Macaca fascicularis: one gene and its partner. The protein of the gene in region 1 interacts with the protein of each later gene in a biochemical or structural test. Links are inferred from orthologs where the notes say so. Each region holds a gene or a part of one and is shown in the gene's direction. Other genes may lie near its edges. The genes, in order: MTOR and EIF4EBP1.

Region 1 (3,806 bases):
AGGGACAATAACAGTTTCTATTTCCTAGGGTGGTGTAAAGTAGTGTGAGGATTAATGCAAAGAGTACAATGTCAAGCATTTCAAGCAGTACTTGGAATATAGTAGCAGTTAATAAATGTGGGCTAATCTCATTTCAATGAATGGAGGGGAAGGGAAAAGTAAGGGAGAAGCCATATAGCAATAAGAGAAGTAACTCTCAACAACTGTCACCCACAAAAATTGGATTTGGGGTAGATAGGTCCATATAGACCTATCTGTACCAGGTACCTGGTTTATGCTGTCATTGAGAGACAAAGGTCAAGATGGAAAGATGGTATCTTAAAATTGTATTCCAGGCCGGGTTCGGTGGCTCACGCCTGTAATCCCAGCACTTTGGGAGGCCGAGGCGGGCGGATCACGAGGTCAGGAGATCAAGACCATCCTGGCTAACACGGTGAAACGCCATCTCTACTAAAAATACAAAAAATTAAGCCGGTGTGGTGGCGGGCACCTGTAGTCCCAGCTACTCGGGAGGCTGAGGCAGGAGAATGGCGTGAGCCCGGGAGGTGGAGCTTACAGTGAGCCAAGATCGTGCCACTGCACTCCAGCCTGGGCAACAAAGCGAGACTCCGTCTCAAAAAAAAAAAAATGTATTCCAAAAGCCCATCTCCTTTCTTCCATATGGCTGAAAATTTTGCTGGCTCCTTCACATTGCCTCCTGAGAACAAGAGGAAATACTAGAAGGGCTTCAGTGTCCCCCTAACAATTCGTGGCCCTCTTACGAGGGCTGTTTTGAGGAGGGAGCATCATGGGGGCTTGTTTCTCTGCTTCCAGATGCTTCCTGAAACTTGGAGAGTGGCAGCTGAATCTACAGGGCATCAACGAGAGCACAATCCCCAAAGTGCTGCAGTACTACAGCGCTGCCACCGAGCACGACCGCAGCTGGTACAAGGTGATCAGAAGCAGGGCCGCCTGCGAGACCCAGCACCCTGGCTGGCTTGCTCATGTCCTCTTGTGTGCTCGTGGTTACAGCTGAGCTTCTGTGGAGCTAGGCTGATGCTGTTAATTTGCTTCTTGAGTCCCTGGAGTCTGTCAGTCACAGGCCCAGGGAGCCTGCGTTTCCCCCTACAAGTTTAATTAATACAGAAAGATTATTGTGAGAAATACTTGTTACACCATTATTAGGTGTGTGGGGTGCTGGGGATTGCTGCTGTCTTATAGATTCTGAGCTGCTTGTTTTCCTGGGAGCATCTGGACACATGGTTAATCTCTGGAGCGTCATCTTCCCTTGGGTCATCTGTTCCTGCTCAGCATTTTTCTGATTTCCATCCTTGCCTGCTCCTCAGCTAAGAACTTAACTTTCTTTATTTTTATTGGAAAGATCCAAGTAACATCCTGTTATGTTACAGGAAACTTTTGAAAGAGATAAACAGAATTAGAAAATTTTTAAAAGATGTGATTGATGGAGGGGTGATTTTTGCAAGTATATATCTTTAGTGAGAACACACATTCTCATTTCTTTTTGAGAGGCTTCCTGGTAAGTAGGTGTGGCAGATGTCATTGATGTCTTTCCAGTATCTCCTTGGTTTGCCAATACTTTGTGAATTAATCCCTCTGAAATCTAAACTTGCATCTGAGGACTGCAGAAGCACTTATAATACAGATCTTACCTTTGTTTAGACATGCTTCATTCTGGTTTGCATGAATGTCCAAAGCTGTATGTCCAAAGCTGCATGTCCAAAGCTGGAAAATACATCCAGTAAACACTATTAGCTGGACGCTTATTAATCAGAATTGCATTCTAACCAGAGTTACTTTTCTTCATTTAGCTTTTAGGAAGTAAGCAAATCACAAGAAAAAAGCTGGTTTCAGGAACTTTAGTTTTAGTTTTTAAAAGCATTTCCTAATGTGGGTCCCTTTAGTTTTATAATGTCTTCTACCGTCAACGTCATGGCCCTGTGTGCATGCCAGGACTGCTTGTCTGGTTCACCTTGACCCCAGATCATTGCTAGGCACATAGCAGATATACAAGAGATGTTCGGGGAATAAATGAAGGTATGGAAAAACTGAAACCTGGGTCATTGTAGAATTCTTACTCACCAAGTAAAGGTTAATTGTGATCAGTCTATTCTGCTTAGATGAGAAAACGGATACACCTGTGTTCAAGGTTTTTGGCAAGGCATACAAATGAATTTCCTGATTATTCAGAAAGTTCAGCTATTAATGGGTCACGTAGTGTCCTACTGTCACTGCAGAGTTACCGTGCCTGGAAGCAAACTCTGCCTCACACTTGCTAAACCAAGCAGTGTACGCTATAGAGTCATTGCCGCTCAGAACCCCAGAGAGACAGTAGTATTCCTTTATCCGAATAAGCACCAAGGGTTCGTCCATCAAGCATTGAGCTCTGGTTCTCTGTCAGGCCATGGGCTAGGTGTGGAGACCAGGTAGATGGGTGAGATTCTTTCTCCATCATGCTCCTATGCTCTTCATGTCTTCCTTTGTCCACTATCTGGTGACCTGTCAAGACTTTGCTCCCCTGAAATATTGTGATGACTGCTGCTTGCCCCCACTTCTGCTTGCCGCTTCTGCTCTCCCCTAAATGTACACTTTATATCCAATGCAGCTCTGCTTTCTGGGTGAAAGTGCCAGCCCCGTGCCTGCTCCAGGCATGCTTTACTGGCCTCGCTCTCACTCCTCGCCTGCGTGTATCTCCTGCGCAGTCACATCCATGGGCTTATTTCCCGTGAACCAATCTGTGCATCTCTGGCCTTATCTTCCCCCTTGCCAAGTAGTCCCCACCGCTGCTCTCTTGTTTCCCTCCTTGCCCTTCTGCAGCTCTCTTCCAGACCTACCCCAAATCCCTCTTCTTGACAAAGCTTTCCAAATCCCTGTCCTTGCTACTCCCGTTGCGCCTTGCAGAGTACCTAGGTCTTCAGGTTTGTACGTGAGCTCCCCTAGAAGGCCAGGAGATCCCTTGAGGCAAGAGCTGTCTCCTGCTCCTCTTGCTGTGCCCTTCTCGCAGTGCAGTCACAGCAGTACGTTATATGGTTAGTGCTCCACAAAGTCAGTGGATCATGTTGAATTTAGTAAAACAGCCATTTCTGAGTGTCTCCTTGAAGTGTTTGCTTTATGGACACAAAGAAGAGGCAGGAGCAGCTGTTCCTCAGCATTTACCTTGCACTCCTCTGAGCCCTGCTGTTGGTCACAGCTCCGGTGTCTGTCCTTGCCTTTCTCCCCAACCAGGCCTGGCACGCGTGGGCAGTGATGAACTTCGAAGCTGTGCTACACTACAAACATCAGAACCAAGCCCGTGACGAGAAGAAGAAACTGCGTCATGCCAGCGGGGCTAATATCACCAACACCACCACTGCCGCCACCACGGCCGCTACTGCCACCACCACCGCCAGCACCGAGGGCAGCAACAGTGAGAGCGAGGCCGAGAGCACCGAGAACAGCCCCACCCCATCGCCGCTGCAGAAGAAGGTCACTGAGGTACCCTTCCCTTCTTCCTTATTACCAACCAACCAACGTGCCAGGCTCTCTGAGAAATGGAACTGTTGTTAAGCTTAAAAGGAACCTGAGGCTGTATCTGAAGTGCCAGGTGGAGCTGGAAAATACTGCCTGTCTGCCATCCAGCACTGCCTGAGACAGGGCTTTGTGTGGATATTTGTGTTTGGGGAGCTGACGCAGCCTCCACGCTGAAGAACAAGCTCCTTGTCAAGCTTCCCCGTGGATGAGCTCATTCTCTACGTGCTGCACCTGTGTGTGGGTGGCTGTACACAGCTGCAGGTCCACTCTGAGGATGGGGCTTGGGAGATCCATCCTCT
Region 2 (4,503 bases), on another chromosome or scaffold:
TGGCCCATCCTGAAACTCCACTGGCTACTAGTTATCTTTCAAAAAAAACAACTCAAATCATGTCATCCCCCTGCTTAAAAGATCTCTGGGCTGGACGCGGTGACTCACGCCTGTAATCCCAGCACTTTGGGAGGCCGAGGCGGGTGGATCACGAGGTTAGGAGATCGACACCAACACCATCCTGGCTAACACGGTGAAATCCCATCTCTACTAAAAATACAAAAAATTAGCTGGGCGCAGTGGCGGGCGCCTGTAGTCCCAGCTACTCGGGAGGCTGAGGCAGGAGAATGGCGTGAACCCGGGAGGCAGAGCTTGCAGTGAGCCAAGATCGCGCCACTGCACTCCAGCCTTAAAAAAAAAAAAAAAAAAAAAAAATCTCTGATCTCTCCTGCCCTTCTAAGACAAAGTCCAAGCACTTTGGCATGATTTGAAAAACTCAATGACCTGACCCCAATTTCCTTTTTAAAAAATTATTATATATTTTTTAGAGATAGGGTCTCTGTCACTAAGGGTGGAGTGCAGTGGTGTGATCACACTCACTGGAGCCTCAAACTCCTGAGCTCAAGCATCCTCCAGCTCAGCTTCCTGAGTAGTGGGGATTACAGGTGCACCACCCAATTTCCCTTTTAAACTTTCTTCACCCTCTTCCCCACAACATGTGCCCACAATGCTAAGAACTTCTCAAACCCAACAAGCTTTTCCATCCTCGGTCCTTCTTGCATTTTTCTCTCTCCCCTTGAACATCCCTCCATCCACCATCCAAGGAGTACCTACTAAATCTCAGGCAGTGGGGTGGGCGTTGGACCCAATTCAGGAGTTATCGGGAAACCTCTTTGACAAACTCTTACCCCTCTCCTACGCCCTTCCCTCTCCCCCTACCCCCGCGCCCTAGCTCTAAATTTAACTCCCAGGACGCCGCTGGTTGGTTCACTCCTCCTCCCACACCCTGTCTAAAGGCCGGGAACAGAATTGTTAGCCCCACCATCCCCACCCCCATCAAGGTCAAGAAATTGAGGCGGGGGAGGGGGTGAGCATGACCACTCAATCCCCACTTTCTCATCTGAGGAACTAAGGCACGAAACAGGGAGTGCCGGAGGGTACACCGGGCCTGATGTACTAAGGCAGAAACCGGGCCTTCCTGCAGTGGGCCGGGTCAGCTCGGATCTCCGCGCGGTCCTGAGTCGCCGCCCCCAACCCAGCCAAGGATTAATTTAGGCGAGCTATCCCGCCCACCACCCCCACCCCCATCCCTGCCAACGTGGCGGGGAGGGACACAGGACAGAGGGGCAGTCGCTGCGGGGCGGCGCCGGCGCCCGTGCGGAAGAGCCCGTGAGCAGGCGTGAGTGGGTCGGGGGGCTGCGGGGGATCCCACGTGGAAGCAACGTCCTGGAGCTGGGTGGGGCTGCGGCGCGGACTACAAATCCCAGGGGCGTGGGCGGGAGAGGCGGAAGGGGCGTCCTGGGGCGGGGCGGGACGGGGCGAGGCTGAGCGGGACCCGGCTAGGCGGAGCGAGGCTGGAGGCGCGGGAGGGCAGCGAGAGGTTCGCTGGTGCAGCGCACAGGAGACCATGTCCGGGGGCAGCAGCTGCAGCCAAACCCCAAGTCGGGCCATCCCCGCCACTCGCCGGGTGGTGCTCGGCGACGGCGTGCAGCTCCCGCCCGGGGACTACAGCACGACCCCCGGCGGCACACTCTTCAGCACCACCCCGGGAGGTAGGCGCGGGCTTGGGGACGCAGCTGGCCGGCTCCTGGGCGGGCGGGAGGATCGGGAATCGCGGATTGGACCGGGTGTCCAGGCTCAAGGGCGCTGTGACTGGAAAGAACGGAGAAGGGGCATCGGGGAGATAGCAAGGGTCATGGAAGTGGCCGCCCGTCTGCCCTCTTGAGTGCGTCGTCCAGACCCAGGTTGCAAACTGCCCCGTTCGTTTCCTCTTTCTGTTAGGTGTCAGACAGCTGACACCTAACAAACACGCACTCTTCCAGGACTGCCACATGCCGAGCTGTGCTGCCCCTTGTGGGTGTTGGGGGCGCTCCCGAGGCAGGATAGGGCGGAGTCAGGGTGGCCCACGATCCAGGAGAGGCCTGGCCTGGTGTTTTTATGGGATGGGTATTATCTGTTGGGATAAATGATTCCTGCAGGGCCCTTTTTCCTTTCCGAAGCACCCCTAGTTTTGCGTTGGACACGCGCGCTCTGACGGAGGTTTGGATGTGGGGGTGCTCTCCTGCTCCAGCAGAGCCTCCCGGGCACCTGTGGCACGTTCCCCATTTTCGCGAGTGGGATCTCCGCGGGGGGGCCGGGCGCCACGGGCAGGGCTGTGCAGAAAAACACGTTCTTCTGTCCGGGGAGAGGAGGAGGCACCGTGTGACCTCCCTGGGAGAGGATGAGGAAGAGGAAGCTGAGCTGGCACGGGTGCGGGGGTGGGGGGGCAGCCTCAGGCTGCCCTCAGGAGCCTGGCATTCCCTCCCAGCCCCGCAACCCCAGCGCACAGACGCTGATGAAACCTACGCGCCTGTTTGCATGATGAAACAAATCCTCGTGGCTCTCCACTCCCCTCCCATCCTCGTACTGCCCCCACCCCTTTGACTTCTCTCCCTTCAATCTCCTCCACGCTGCTTTCCAAACTACTCGAAAACGCGACAGATCCTGGCGCTTCACTCGGTGGCGGGCAGGGGCCACATGCTTATTTTCTCAGGCAGCTGTCCTACCAGCAGCATGCACGGCCGGATCCGAGGTCCTCAGCTATTTGATCCAAAACATACACTGTTAGAACGGTTAGGGATCTTGTCCAGCCCTGCCGCCTTATTCTACAGAGCCGGGCATTGAGGCCCCAGAGCTTGAACACGTGTCTATTGCCCATTGTCACACCGTTTTCCCAGATTGGACAAGAAATAGCAACCAGGCAGAGAAGGGAGGAATGCTTCGTTTTCTATTAGAAATGAGCCAAGGAAAAGCTCGCAGGGGCTCTTATTGCCACTCCCGACTCATCCTCTTTCCCTTGCTGGGTCTTTTGTAGTTCATGCTGTTCTCCTTTGTCCCTGTCACAATGGTCTACCAGGACAATTCCTGACAATTTTGGACTTCTTTCAACTGAGGGTGTAAGTGTCTGCTGGATTTGTTCAGGGTGGGCCCTGAGGCTGGCCTGAAGGCACAGGTAGCCCTTTTTTGCGCCTTTTATTGCTGGATTGTTGGGTCAAATTGGAAGCCACAGATACTGTTTATAGGCACTTCTGGCACGGGTACCAAGGTTCACACCTGTAATCTCAGCATTTTGGGGAGTCGAGGCAGGAGAATTGCTTGAGGCCAGGAGTTCAAGACCAGCCTGGGCAACATAGTGAGACTCCATCTCTACAAAAAAAAAAAAAAAAGATGTCCTAGCTATTACAGAGGCTGCGGCCAGAGGGTCGCTTGAGCCCAGGAGTTGGAGGCTGTAGTGAGCTATGATTGACCACTGCATTCCAGCCTGGGTGACAGAGCGAGACCCTGTCTCTAAAATAAATAATAAACATAAAATATATGAACTTTGAATCCACTTTTCACTTTGGGTTGGGAAGTGGGGAGTAGGCAGGGGGCTGACAGACCACAGCAAATCCCCCTCCTTTTGAAGGTCTTTTTTTTTTTTTTTTTTTTTTTTTTTTTTTTTTTTTTTTTTGAGACGGAGTCTCGCTCTGTCACCCAGGCTGGAGTGCAGTGGCCGGATCTCAGCTCACTGCAAGCTCCGCCTCCCGGGTTCACGCCATTCTCCTGCCTCAGCCTCCCGAGTAGCTGGGACTACAGGCGCCTGCCACCTCGCCCGGCTAAGTTTTTGTATTTTTAGTAGAGACGGGGTTTCACTGTGTTACCCAGGATGGTCTCGATCTCCTGACCTCGTGATCCGCCCGTCTCGGCCTCCCAAAGTGCTGGGATTACAGGCTTGAGCCACCGCGCCCGGCCGAAGGTCTTTAACAGTAGGGGGAGTGGGGAAGGGGCTTCTGCATCAGGGCATAGCATGTTTCTGAGATCACTGGAAGAAGCTAGCAGTGCCAGGAGCCTAAAGCCAGCTCACTCTTTGGGTCATCCAGGTACAGCTCACAGTCCCTAAGCCAGGGAAACCCGGCTTACTTCCACTAAAGTCAAGCAAGCCTGGTCGGCCTCGATTAGCCAAGGTGTGAACTCTTCCTCCAAAGCCCACCTCAGCCCACCTCTGCTAGGGCAGAGAAGCTGAAATGGTCACATCGCAGGACCCTTTTGCTCCAGAGCAGAATACTGCGTCTCAACCTTCCAGGTGCTTGAGGATAACTGGGGGCTTCATTTAAGTGCATATTCTGATTCTGTAGGTGGGGGTGGGGACTAGATTCAGCATTTCTTTCTTTTTTCTTTCTTTCTTTTTTTTTTTTTTTTTTTGAGAAGGGTCTCACTCTGTCACCTGGGCTGGAGTGCAATGGCATGATCTCAGCTCACAGCAACCTCCACCTCCCGGGGTCAAGCGATCCTCCCACCTCAGCCTCCCCAATAGCTGGGACAACA

The links.
Region 2: of the proteins of MTOR (region 1) and EIF4EBP1, one has a biochemical effect on the other in vitro, tested with the Homo sapiens proteins (29 studies listed by BioGRID and IntAct, with this or other methods). The link is inferred for Macaca fascicularis from reciprocal best matches to the Homo sapiens genes MTOR and EIF4EBP1.

Annotation. Positions count from the first base shown.
Region 1 is NC_088375.1:223,669,804-223,673,609, forward strand, and holds part of MTOR (serine/threonine-protein kinase mTOR), read left to right. Parts: intron 1-813; coding exon 814-931; intron 932-3,222; coding exon 3,223-3,471; intron 3,472-3,806. UniProt on the Homo sapiens protein: Serine/threonine protein kinase which is a central regulator of cellular metabolism, growth and survival in response to hormones, growth factors, nutrients, energy and stress signals.
Region 2 is NC_088382.1:41,420,600-41,425,102, forward strand, and holds the start of EIF4EBP1 (eukaryotic translation initiation factor 4E-binding protein 1), read left to right. Parts: upstream 1-1,505; 5' UTR 1,506-1,567; coding exon 1,568-1,712; intron 1,713-4,503. UniProt on the Homo sapiens protein: Repressor of translation initiation that regulates EIF4E activity by preventing its assembly into the eIF4F complex: hypophosphorylated form competes with EIF4G1/EIF4G3 and strongly binds to EIF4E, leading to repress translation.